2 linked regions of the Drosophila melanogaster genome follow. The protein of the gene in region 1 purifies or fractionates together with the protein of each later gene. This does not show direct contact. Each region holds a gene or a part of one and is shown on either strand. Other genes may lie near its edges. The genes, in order: Gem3 and Glos.

Region 1 (6,355 bases):
GCATATTTCCCACGTGGTGGAAAAGTTTTTTCCAACAATAAAATGCCAAGCGGTGCATAAAGTTCATAGAAAAGTTTTCTCTTTTGTTGATTGAAAATGTCGCTTATTGTCGCAGGCAAAACACCAGAAGAAATCAACAATACAAATGTTGTTGAGAAATTAAAACTAACAATAAACCAATAACGAATTCCAATGCTCAATTAATGCTACAATAATTTAAGTTTACTGATCAAATCAAAATCACTTTAAAACTTTAGAGCTAAGTCAACAAAATCGATTTATTTTCCATTATTATAATTTTTGCATCAAACATAAAATAAAAATTTTAAATATAGATTGCCATGTTCAGTCCAAAAGATGTGTTTCAATGGAAATACAATTTCCAGAAAGATGAGATGCCTTCTCCAAGGATACTCCTCCGCCGATAATTTGCGACCAATAGGGTATTAAAGTCACGGATGTAGAACGATGCCAAAAGAGGCCTTGCAGTTCTCCATAAAGCTGAATCGCCCTCCAGTTAGATATGCAAAAATGCTGTATGACCATGTAAAATCGAATATAGTTGATCAATCCGCTGGCCACAAAGGTCAATATCCAGGGCAAAGCAAATAACAGGAATATATTCCGCGGCAGGGTTCCGTTTTTCAATGCGGAATTCTGTTTTTTGATCCAATTGTTTTTCACTTGCTCTGCAGCTGTTGTCGTAGTTTTAAGGATTCCTTTCTTTTCCATCGATACCTCACTTTTGCCACTTTGCAAGTGTCGTGAGTACCAAACTCCGATCATAGATAGTAGTGAATACATTATGGCCTTAACCAGCATCCAGTGATTGTATTTATAGCCCAATTGAAGCGTTAGATTACGATTCACGGAGGGATAGACCGTTTTTAGATTGGCATTCGCCTCGATGACCGGCTGAAGATTTGAGCCCAAGTGCAGGGATGTCAGCAGCGCAAAGTAACCAATGTCTCGTATTTTGGGTATGAACATGGTTCTCGAATTTGGAGTTCAAAATGAAAAAATTTTAAGTCGTTTTTTAAATTTTGTATCTAATTTTGTGTGACCTCAATGTGCTCTGACATTCCCAGTCTGATTGCTTAAAAAACGTTATATTATAAACATTTTTTGATTTTTATTTTAAATTATACGTAATTAAAATTACGTAATTAAACAATTAGGTAAATAATAAAAGATTTTATCGTTGTTTGTTATAAATTAATTTATTAAATTGAAAGGCAGCGTGCTGAAACTACTTAACTGCATCAACTTATTTTAGCGACATAAATTATTTGAAATTCCCGCCAGCTGGTACAGTTTGAGAGCAACTATTAGCTGTGCTAAAACCCCTGCATTTAAGTGCTTGACAATCTTGCCTTATTCCAACCTATTGGAAATATAAATTTCATATTAAAACAATCAACGGTACGATGTACATATTTTTTTATTGTAAAACAATATATTGTTAAGATTTCAAAAGGAATTAATTTTTTATTTTTAGTTCAATTGGTTGGAGTGCTTGGTAAATAGTTAGCACAGATAGCAACCTTGGTGTGAGCCTTCGCTAATATTTCGACATAAGATTTAAATACAGAAAATAATATTTAATTCTAACAATTATACCTTATTTCTGTGTGAAATTATGAAAAATGTAAACATTTCTCTGAATACAAATGACATTTCGTTACTGTAGGTTTTGTTCTGTGTAAATAGGTTTAATATTCACGGATAATTCGTTTGTAGTATATTTTAGTATATAATTATTCGCGTATGATGGATTTTTTGGCCGGCAATAAAAAAGTGTAAATTGTAGCAAGGCAACCGAATCGTTTCAAAATTTTGTCCAAAAAGTGGAAATTTACGCGAAATGGAGCGCGAAATAGCGCACAGTTTAGCTGGCGGCGAGGAACGAAGTAGCGATGTGGCACCTGGACAGGTTAAGACCTTCGAGGAACTGCGTCTATACCGAAATCTGTTGAACGGATTGAAGCGCAACAATTTCGTGACGCCAACGAAGATTCAGGCAGCTGCCATACCCATGGCACTGGCCAAAATGGGTAAATATCTTGCATGCAACAGAAGATTATCAATAATAGTTGCTATATTAATCTGCAGATCTAATAATACAATCGAAGAGTGGAACTGGCAAAACTCTAATCTATGTTATAGCCGTCGTTCAGAGCTTTAATCCCAACATAAACCAACCGCATGCCATGATCGTGGTCCCAACTCGAGAGCTGGCCATTCAGGTGCAGGACACATTTTTCCATCTCTGCAAATCGTTTCGGGACTTTAAATGCTCTGCTTTCATCGGTGGCACCGATGTGGCCAAGGATCGCAAGCGAATGAATGAAAGTCGAGTCATTATCGGTACACCGGGACGTTTGCTGCATCTGTATGAGAATAGAGTATTCGATGTGTCCAAACTGCGACTGCTGGTGCTCGACGAGGCCGATCAACTTTATCAGACAAAGAGCCTGCAGCATACGGTCAGTAAACTCATTGAGGCAATGCCCAAGAATCGGCAAATAATTGCCTGCAGTGCCACATACGATCAGAATTTGGATGAGCGTCTGGCCAAGGTCATGGACAAACCCATGCTTATATCGAATTCCGAAAGGGCTACCGTTCTACTGGGCATTCGGCAGTTTGTCTACGAATTGCCACAGCAGAATAACAGTGTGGAGGAGATGCGTCTTAAACTGCAGATTCTTGGCCAGATCTTTAATCAGCTGCCTTACGAACAGGCCATCATCTTTGCTAGCTCACAAATGCGAGCGGATTCTTACAAGAACTATCTTACAGCCAGTGGTATCGATTGTCATTTAATTTCGGGAGCCATGGAACAATCGGAGCGTTTGCATGTTTTCGAGGGCTATAGAAACTTTACTATGCGCATCCTGGTGGCCACTGATTTGATGGCACGCGGAGTGGACTCCCCGCATGCCAACCTGGTTATCAACATTGATCCACCACAGGATCATGTCACCTATTTGCACCGCATTGGACGAGCTGGTCGGTTTGGCTCCAAAGGCATAGCCATCACGTTTATTGCCTCCAAGAAGGAGAGCCAGAGATTTAGGGAAATGTCAAAAAAAATCGCTACGGCTTGGTCGGTTCTGGAGTTTCCCAAGGAGCCAATGCCCAATGAATTCAATTTTTGGGATTTCGAAAAGTACAACTTTGATTATTACATTAAGGAAGAGAATCCGCTACAGGAAATGCCTATGCCTATTAAAGAAAATAGAAGTAAAGAAAATGTTGATGCTTCTTCAGTTGACTTGGAAAATCTTCAAAAGGATCAGGATGGCAAAAGGAGAGATCCAGACAAACTACCAGTGGCCTTAGAAAATGTTGAAACCCAAAAAGAGTTGGAGCTCGAAAACTTACCAGAAAGTTCACATAATAATAAGAATCTTAGGGTCAAAGAGAAAGAAATTGTAAGGCAAGGAAAGCTTAAAGAAACTAATTCCAAAGCTGGAGGTTCTAAAACGAACAAGACGGAGAGAAGGAAAAAATCTAACACTCCATCAAAGTTACAGAAACAAATAACTGAAGTGCAGCAAACACCAGAGATCACCGTAAATAAATACTATATGCAAGAAGACATACAACGAACAGCAGACGGCAAAGAGTATCATCCTGTTAATGGAGCGGGAAACCACCAGGTTCCGTCAAAATCTAATCAAAAACCGGTGGAGTTTATATCTCCCGAATTGACACCAACCCTAACACCATTGGAACTGACCCAGGAGCCGTCTCCAACCACAGTGACACCACCTGCACCGCCAGCCAACTCGATTAACAACAAAACCTATTGCCTAGCTGCTCCAACGCAAACCAGTTCGATGACCATACAGAACATGGTAATATCGAACACGGTGGACGATGCCAGTAGCATCAGTTCGGATAGCATGGTGGTATGTGGCTATCATAGCGATAGGTCCTACGACACATACTATGCAACCAGTGATGAGGAGGAGATCTGGAATAGATTAATGTCGAAACAAAGGCGTCAGCTGAAGAGCAAGAGAGGCCATGGAAAACGGCGTGTGATACTATACAAGAAAGTATTTCCTAAACTAAAGGCGAATGTTAAACGCAAGCTTAAAAAACGGATGAGCTCGTCATGCAGATCCAAAAAAGCACACCATTTGCGAAAACGTCATGTATACAAAAATATATCACTTTTGCCACACATGAATTTGTGTCATCTGCTTCAAAAATTTACAAATCAAGAGAGATTTTTGAAACGGCTCCACAAATATGCAAAGAATCAATTCATTGACAATGCGAGGGTTGGCTTTTTGCTGGATAAGCTCTATAAATCCATCCTGGAAATGTACTATAACAGTGCTAAGGAGAGGAAGAAGCATTTTAAGGAAGCTATGAAGGAGTCCCTAAAATCCATTGATAACTACGAGAGCCAAGAGTCTTCGGAATCAGAGGAGGAGGAGGAGGAGGAGAAGGATCTAAAGAACAAGTTAAGTGTTCATGTGACGAATCAGATGGACATACCACCAATGCCACAGGCCGCTGTTGAAATTGGTTCAGGAAGTGAATCGGATACGGAGGACTCGCAGGAATACGGCGAAGGCGAAGAGATCATTGTGGACGATGAGGACGATGGCAGCGATGGCGGGCCAAATTCATCGAGTGGTTTTGTAGAGAGTCAGGAGAGTGTTTCGTCTGGAATAGACACTTCCGTTTACGAAACGGAATCTACGGGCGCATCTGGAAATAATTCAAGTGCATTCTTTATTTCGGATGATGAATCAGATACTGAATCCTTAACAGATTCGGAAGCTGGAAGCAATGTCAGCGCGACAGGATCAAGCTCACAGCGATCTTCAGTAGCGAGCAGCACCTATGAATCTTCGGATGATGATTCTGTAACTGTAACCAATGTCAGTTCAATGCAGAACGCTCAATCATTGTGGTTGCAGACTTTCAACATGCAGTACCAATTCATTGCATCCCATGTGGCCAAGAATCTACAGAACTATTACTAAGTGGTTATGAATGAAAAACTAGTGAAAACTCAGGCATTAAAATTAAACTCAACTAATCACTTCATTCGGAAACAAAACGGATCAGTTCCAAGAGAGGCTGTATCAGTCTCTTTCCTTACAATTGTATATCGTAGCCAGTTAAACCGTTTTCTTAATTAGAATACTCAATGTCGAAATAGTTGATAGCATGTTGGATACCATGAATGTTTTTTTATGCAAGCAATAAATTGCAGAATTTGTTACCAAAAAAATAAATGAATTAAAGCAGGAAACTAACTATTTTGAATTTATTAAACAATAAGTTCATTGCTCAACTTCTTTGATTTCAAAATTGATTGTTTTTCATGTTTATTCGCTACATAATCGCATCAAACAAATTAATCCACAATGTGAAAGTTAAATCCCTTTAATCACTCGCAATGATTTATCTAAGAGATGGGAAAACAAACATTTTTCTTGGTTTCGGCAAGCCGGATGGATGAAGGTAAAGAAGCGGCGCCAACCGACTGCCGGGACATAAATCATATAGTCAGTGGGATCGGGATCGGCATCGACCATCGACCATCGGGCAACGGGCATCAGCTGTGTGGCAGACAACATTGTTGCACGGGCGCCGCTCACTTTGCAACTGACTGCAGAGGTGTTAACCCATTAATTAGCTGTTGTCAAAAGTCGTTCACTCGATTTTGAAAGCCACTCGAAAATCAGAATGGATTGTACAAAAATATGACATATATTTATGTTTTATTTATTTATTTAATGCATTTTGTGAATTATTTGTGCAACGAATGCCATGTTTGTCAGCAAATAAATGAGTTCTACTATTTTCTTTTTATACTCCACTGCTGTATTTAATTTTTAAAATACTTCGATTCATAAATAATTTATTTTTAAATTGATTAAATGCAGTTAAAATTTTTAAGTTTCCTTTTACGAGTTTTGTGTCCCCATTTGCGAGTGCTTCGCAATGGGTTAAGCGAATGAGACGGTCCACAGGCGGCATGCCGCGTCGGTGGCATAGTCAAAACATTCGCCCTGCGGTCGAGCACGCAAAAAGCCGGCATCTGGATGGTACTGCTCATTGGTCGTCGATCTGCAGTGCCCCAAGTGCCCCTCTTTTGGAGTGCAACACCCCTCCCCCCCCTGCGTTGCAAGTCCAATAAGGAGCGTGAGAAAACGCAAATTCAAAGCGAGCTGGAAGCGACAACATTTTATAGATCCTAGAGACATGGATAGCGTTGCATTTTGTCGCTGCCGCAGTGGCAGCAAACTCAATTCGATTAGCGATAAATGCGAGATGCGAAAAATGCTCGGCCAGCTGGTGCAGGTGTTAAAGTCTTATAATG
Region 2 (6,684 bases), on another chromosome or scaffold:
TGCTCGTTCTGGAGCAGCTTCCAGTGCGCGGGCAATTTCTCCTCGTCCACGCGGTCTGCTAGCTTCCAGAGGACCCGCGAAGTTTGCGCCACCAGGCGATGAAACGGAGCCACCAGCAATGTAAGATTGGCGGCATATTGCCGCAGCACATCGTCTGTGGTGTTGCCAGCGAGCAAGCCGGCATAGGTGAAGCCCACAACGTACACAGAGGACAGCTGCTTCTCAGACTCCAGACGGTACAGTTGCTCCACAAGCGACGGACTCACCTCCTCCGCCCGAATGTACTGGGCCAGCATATGCAGCTTCTTGTCCTCGAAACGGGCTGAGCCATCAGTCACCGAGGCGTTATTGTCCTCCTCGTCGGCCATTTCATCCGCGGCCAATGGCAGGCGAAGTTGCTCCACAAATCGTTCGTAGAGCAGCCGTATACTCTCGTCGCCAATGAACACAAAGTTGTTCTTGTTGTCGAAGAAGGCGAGGTAACGCAAACAGCGCCTTGTGTCACTGTAAATAATGAGAATTTCGGTTTGGGTGACTCATTAATTGGGGGGTTATCTTGTCGGGAATGTGCGTTGATTACTCACGTGAGGGAGTACTTGTGCACCATGCAACCGTACGGCTGCCACTCGTTGTCGCCCTTAAATCGGCCCTTGGACAGCAGCCACTGGCAGGAGTCACTGCCTGCGGGAGAACAAAACAAAACAAATCAATATCCATAATAAGCATACGATGGCAGCCAACATCCCAAATATGAACTTTACATGTCGTTTATATTAATCCAACCAACTGCAGAATTTGTACACTAATCTTAAAATTCGACATGATTATCTATATTTACATAAACGTTTGAGATTAAAAGTTTGTAAAAACCTTTTTTACTATTTAAAATGTACCGAATATGGTCAAACGTCAAACTGACTCATTAATAATATGAGAAGAATAAGTGAACATTGGTATACAATTGTGATCTTAAAATGGGTACGATTCCGTATCCACATCCATTATAAATTTCATAGTACTTAGATCTTTAAAGATCTTGTAACCTTGGACCCACCGTATTTCCAGTTGAGCAGGCCGTGATAGACGATGAAGCCGAGGACCAGAAGCAAAGCCACCTTCTTGGCATTGGTGGCGTTTAGTTGTTCCATAAATATATCCGCTCTGGTGGGCATACGCTGTCCTCCGGCGGCGCCTCCAATGCAGATGCCGCCTAGTTCGGGACTAGGGGCTCCATTCACTGACACTCCGGGGGTTCCGGTTGTAGCTGCTCCAATGCCTCCTACGCTTCCACCATTTCCACCGCGCAGTTCGCGTAGCTCCATAATTTATAAGCCGTCTGCCGCCTTCTCCACCGCCACCACCAAACGGTCTGCGACGGAAAGTCTGGCCTATAATATAGATAATTTGGCCTATTGCATGGGCATGTTTTAACCCAGTTCCGCTTGTTCCTTAGGCAGCGACCGACTCCTCCTATCGCTTGCTGTTTCGCTCTTGCTTGGCTTTTATTTTACTTTCCTTTAGCTTTTGCTTCGCCGGCCGATAGACAACCGCGTCTATCGACCGCCACCCACAACACAAAACTATCGACACCGAACAGCTGATTTGTCTGCATTGTGGGCGAACGGGAAAGATCGTTAATAATATCAATTATCAAATTTCGAAAAACACAATACTATACTTTATAGCAAATATACATTTATTTTTTTACCATTTAAGCATTAGCTTTTGCTTTGCCGGCCGTTAGGCAGCCGCGTCTATTGCCCTCCAACGCAATACAAGACTATCGATAACGAACAGATGATCTCTCAGCATTCCTGTCGAAAGGGAGGATCGTTAATAATATCAATTATTAATTATCGAATAAGGCACTACAATACTTAATTTATTTTTCAGCTAAAAATATTTACATATCATAGGAAAAAAATTAGAAATAAAGTTAAATAAATAGGAATAAATCTACATCAGAGAGTCCATAACAAAGCGAAATTTTTGTATTCGGGACATTTTCATTTTCAAAAAATATTCTTCGCACGCAAGATAAGTGGTACGCAACTATCGATTTTGGATAGTCATCTGACGAGAAGACGCACATAAAATTGAATTCGTTCGGAAAAGTTTTGACAAAACGCGAAGTTTCGGCAGCACTATGATAACTGCTAAGAAGCACCCGCTGGACAATTGCCAATTGTTTGTCCAGCTGAAGAAGTTATTTCATGACTACAACGAGAAGGTCCAGCGTCTGAAGGACATGATTTACTGGAGTGGTAAGTGAAGTACCAGAGGTTAGTGCCCAAATATGAACATTGTTTGTTCTCAGGAAACGATGAGCACATTGCGAAGATCTGCGACCAAGTGACGGACCTGCTGGTGGAGCACGATCTAATCATACAGCCGCCAGACACAATGGATCCTTGTGCTATGAATCACCTGCGTGGACTACTGGTGTACCTGGTGCTGAACACTGCACACGATGATATCCAGTGCGAATCGCAGTGGAGCGCCAATGTCATGCATTTGTGTAACCAGCTGCCGCCTATCCCACTGTTCTTGACCATCGCAATAGCCGTTAACTGCTGTCTCATGGAGCCGCTGGAGGAATTCCTTGCTTGTGGACCCCGCTGGCTGACCATCCAGTATTTTGAGGCATTCAATGAGGCTCTGTCGGTCATTAATTCAGATTGCGTGGAAACACTACCGCTGCTCTCTGCCGCCCTCAGAGCAGCCGGTCGCGCAATTGTCAACTGCAATTTGCCCGCAGAAAATAAGCAACTGCTGCGCCAGATAGCCTGCATGGAACATCGTCATATCTTGGACTCTAAACAGCGCCTCCATACGCTGCCGCGTCCATCCACTCGAAAGATTTACCTGGCCAAGGCTATGGATCACCTTATAGAAGTCCTTTTGTATACCCTCAATGATCCATTAAAGCGGGAGAAACCAAATTGCTTCGCCGTCTACAGCCAAATAACCGAGGACATCAGTGACAGCAACTCAAGCGATCCCATGCCTGATCTGCGGCATTTCGCCCAAATACTGCTAGACGTTCTGCAGCGTATCTTTCAGCTCGTTAGCGTAGACACGTATATGTATTGGCATGAAATGAAATCGAAAAGTGCTTTGTATAACTGCCAGGAGCTAATCTGTAGACAGACGGCAGAATTGCTTAAAGTACTCCAATCAGATAAGTTGCTCGGAGAGCATCCGGTTTGCAAGCAGATGCAGAGCTTTGCGGATGCAGCAAAAACATTGGAGCAGCGCGTTGCCGAGATGAGAATCGGTGAACTCTTGGCCTTTATCGATTCCGGTATGGCCACCAATGAGGAGTTGCTCGCCGGGCTGGACAATCTCTTTAGCCGCTTCATAGCCTTTGGCAGCGATGAGTGCCTGGAAACGATGGCAAATCATTTAATTATGCTCACCAAGAAACATGCCCAGATAATACTCAGTTTCCTGGGTCAGGTGGTGGAGTCCGAAATGGTGGTCGAGGACGAGGGCATATCCGTTACGGAAGTAAATCAGGGGGACGACGAGGACGAGACCTCGTCCAACGATGATTACGAAGAGCTGCTAAGCCTAGTACTGCGTCCCTTATTTATGCAATTAAATGTCGAGGACAAGATGGAAGTACTGCTATTACGCGATGAGCAAAACGTTACCCAAGGATTTAATTTCAAGGCTCCCGATCATCGGGAGCGTCGCATACGCTTCTTTAATCAATTGGATTATAATAAGCGCTTCCCGATAACCGAATTTTTAGTACTGTGCTTTGAGAACGCAAGACAGACCTGGATTGATTTCTCCCACTTGGGCGTGACGCATACTCGCTTCTCGAAGCTATTCTGGCACATAGCTCAGTCTTGTCCCAAGCATGCTGCTTTTCATATTTCCGCCTGTGCCGATAACATCTTGGTGAACGAGCAACTACTTCAAAAGCCGTATGCCTTGCAGTTTACACTCTACCTATATGGCCACCGACAGATCCTCAACGGTCTCTACACGTCAGCGCGACAACTGTGCGTTAGTTTGAAAGACGGACGGTGTCCCTACGGAGAGGATGAGCTTAGGCAGGCGCAAAATAGGTTCCTAGACGCGTGTGCCTACGGTTTGGCCAAGTTTATAGAGCCCATGAACTTGCCCAGCTTGCAGTTAATCTTGAAACTGCTCAAGCAGATTAGTCTGGGTGAAAGCAATCTAATCACCCGAGGCACTGCAGAGTTAAATGCACTCGAAAAGGAGCACCCGAAATTGGAGAACGGAGACGATGCACCAGCTGTCAAGGTGGCCAAGCACTACACATATCTGCATGCCAGTTTGCCAGAGTGGCGTTTGAAACACTGGAAGCTGATCTCGCATGTCATGAAAACCATTGATGCCCTACGCTGGGACTTGGCCACCTTTGAAGATTTCCGGGTGGATAATTTAGAACTGGCGGTGTGGTATTGGCAGGACGGTCTGTCTCATCTGACATTCCTAGGCACTGGTGCGCTCTTATAAATGTAAGTCCAAGACGAAAGCCTACTAATTATTGCTCTTTCACAGAATTCCGCCAGAGGATCTTAAACCAAGTGAGCAAATTGAAGCACAAGGACTTTTGGATCATCTACCTTAAAGAAGACACCTTAAAGGACACACGCTCCTTTCTCAAATTGCTAACTCAGTCCAGTGCACAGGAGGCTAACGATCTCTTCAACAAGCTCCTTAAAAAAAGGGCCGATTGTGCTGTTATGGGCGATCTTAGCGATGCAGTGGTCAAGGTGAACAGCGAGTCCGCTTTCATGGCCTTTAGATTCCTATTTCGAGAATATTTGATCGCCTTCCGGAGCCACGCCAAACACAATAAGACCATCACGAAGCGCCAGCATTGGGATCATTTGATGGCCGTTGTGGCCAAGGCTCCATTCTCCATTCGCAACGAGATTATGGAGCTAGCTAGTAAAGCCTTCGCTGTGCGATTCGGCATAAATATCCAGGAACAGCAGGCGGCCAAGTGTTAAGGAGATGCTGTTAGAAGTGTAATTTTCTTAAGCCAAATCGAAACACCGCCGCTAATCGACTAAAGACGTACATATATAATAATCATAACGCTAGGATGATGTTCAATCCAGATATCAGATTATTTTACAATTTTGTATGTCCTTTAAAAGGATGACTGTATGCACATAACATATGTACTACTGCCTTGCAAATTTTTTGTCTATTTAAAAAATACTTTGGCAAGCAAGTGAAGTTATTCAGATGAAAACTATTGCAATTTTGCATGTTCTTCATATTATTCGTATAATTATGTATTATATACATACATACATATATAAAATACAAAACGCTATGATCGAACATCAGAATAATATGTGTGAGGAGTCTACGTCCCCACAAATCTGGGTGCAGGGGAGCGGCCTTGGACGCCAGGAAAGCGGAGAGACTGTGAACTAACGGTACCGCGCTGGACCTTGGACTCGAGCCTGCCAAGGGCACGGAGGTCGAACAGTAACGGTGCGGACTTTGGACACGCACAAGAGGACACACATTGTGAACTAACGGCAAATTAGTTGGACGCGCAAAGGGGAAAATAACGGGATCCCCGCGGCCTATAAAGGAACGGCGCAAGTGCAGCTTGGGGCAGTCAGTCACAACACGCGAGGAGCCACACGTACGCGAGGATAGTCGAGGAGAGTACGGGCGCGAGTCGAGCCGTCAGGAGGCGGCCGCGCAATCGGAACGGCGTCTAAAGAAGAGAGACAGTGCGTTAGAACGCGCGGATACTACCATCAAGTTTTTTGTCTATTAAATAAATACTTTGGCAAGCTTGAAATTATTGTAATTTAGCATGTTCTTATTATTATTCGTATTCTTATGTACGAATTCCAAATCTATCTCTCGATTTCAAACTCAAGTGCCGCATGCGAATCGCATTATTTTAAATACTTTTGCTAAATAGGACCACTGTTTAAAAAACTGCAGTTGACTTTGGAGAAGTCGCAATATTTATAATGTCAATTATTAATTATCGAATAAAACATTACAATAATAATACAAATAATTAATTATCGAATAATACATTACAATACTTTATAAAATATCTTCATTTAATTTTCAGCTGAGCAAAATACAAAATATCATATGAAAATGTTTATAAATAAAGTTAAAGTTAAATCATAGCATGCAGTGGACAAGTCATATTAGTATCTATCTACATCAGAGAGTCTATTACAAAGCGAAATTTTTTGTTGTAGGGACATTTTCATTTTCAAAAAATATTCCTTGCACGCAAGATAATCGGTACGCACCGGTAAACTATCGATTTTCGATAGTCATCTGACAGAAGACGCACATAAAATTGAATTCCTTCGGAAGAGTTTTGACGAAACGCGAAATTTCGGCAGCACGATGATAACTGCTGAGAAGCACCCGCTGGACAATTGCCAGTTGTTTGTCCAGCTGAAGAAAATATTCCATGACAACAACGAACAGGCCAAGTGTCTGAAAGATATGATTTACTGGAGTGGTAAGTGAAGTACCAGAGGTTAGTGCCCAAATATGAACATTGTTTGTTCTCAGGAAACGATGAGCACATTGAGAAGATCTGCGACCAAGTGACGGACCTGCTGGAGGAGCACGATCTAATCATACAGCCGCCAGACACAATGGATCCTTTTGCTATGAATCAACTGCGTGGACTACTGGTGT

The links.
Region 2: the proteins of Gem3 (region 1) and Glos purify together in Drosophila melanogaster (affinity purification with mass spectrometry, with the first as the bait; one large-scale study listed by BioGRID). This does not show direct contact.

What each region holds. Positions count from the first base shown.
Region 1 is NT_037436.4:10,458,536-10,464,890, reverse strand, and holds Gem3 (gemin 3), read left to right. Parts: upstream 1-1,789; 5' UTR 1,790-1,864; coding exon 1,865-2,054; intron 2,055-2,112; coding exon 2,113-5,009; 3' UTR 5,010-5,810; downstream 5,811-6,355. Other genes in the region: CG32061 (uncharacterized protein), read right to left, coding at 346-990.
Region 2 is NC_004354.4:3,934,676-3,941,359, forward strand, and holds Glos (gaulos), read left to right. Parts: upstream 1-1,841; 5' UTR 1,842-2,146; coding exon 2,147-2,264; intron 2,265-2,317; coding exon 2,318-4,480; intron 4,481-4,539; coding exon 4,540-4,994; 3' UTR 4,995-5,907; downstream 5,908-6,684. Other genes in the region: CG2938 (uncharacterized protein), read right to left, coding at 1-504, 585-681, 1,055-1,322; Gem4b (gemin 4b), read left to right, coding at 6,385-6,502, 6,556-6,684. UniProt on the Drosophila melanogaster protein: Component of the survival motor neuron (SMN) complex that catalyzes the assembly of small nuclear ribonucleoproteins (snRNPs), the building blocks of the spliceosome, and thereby plays an important role in the splicing of cellular pre-mRNAs.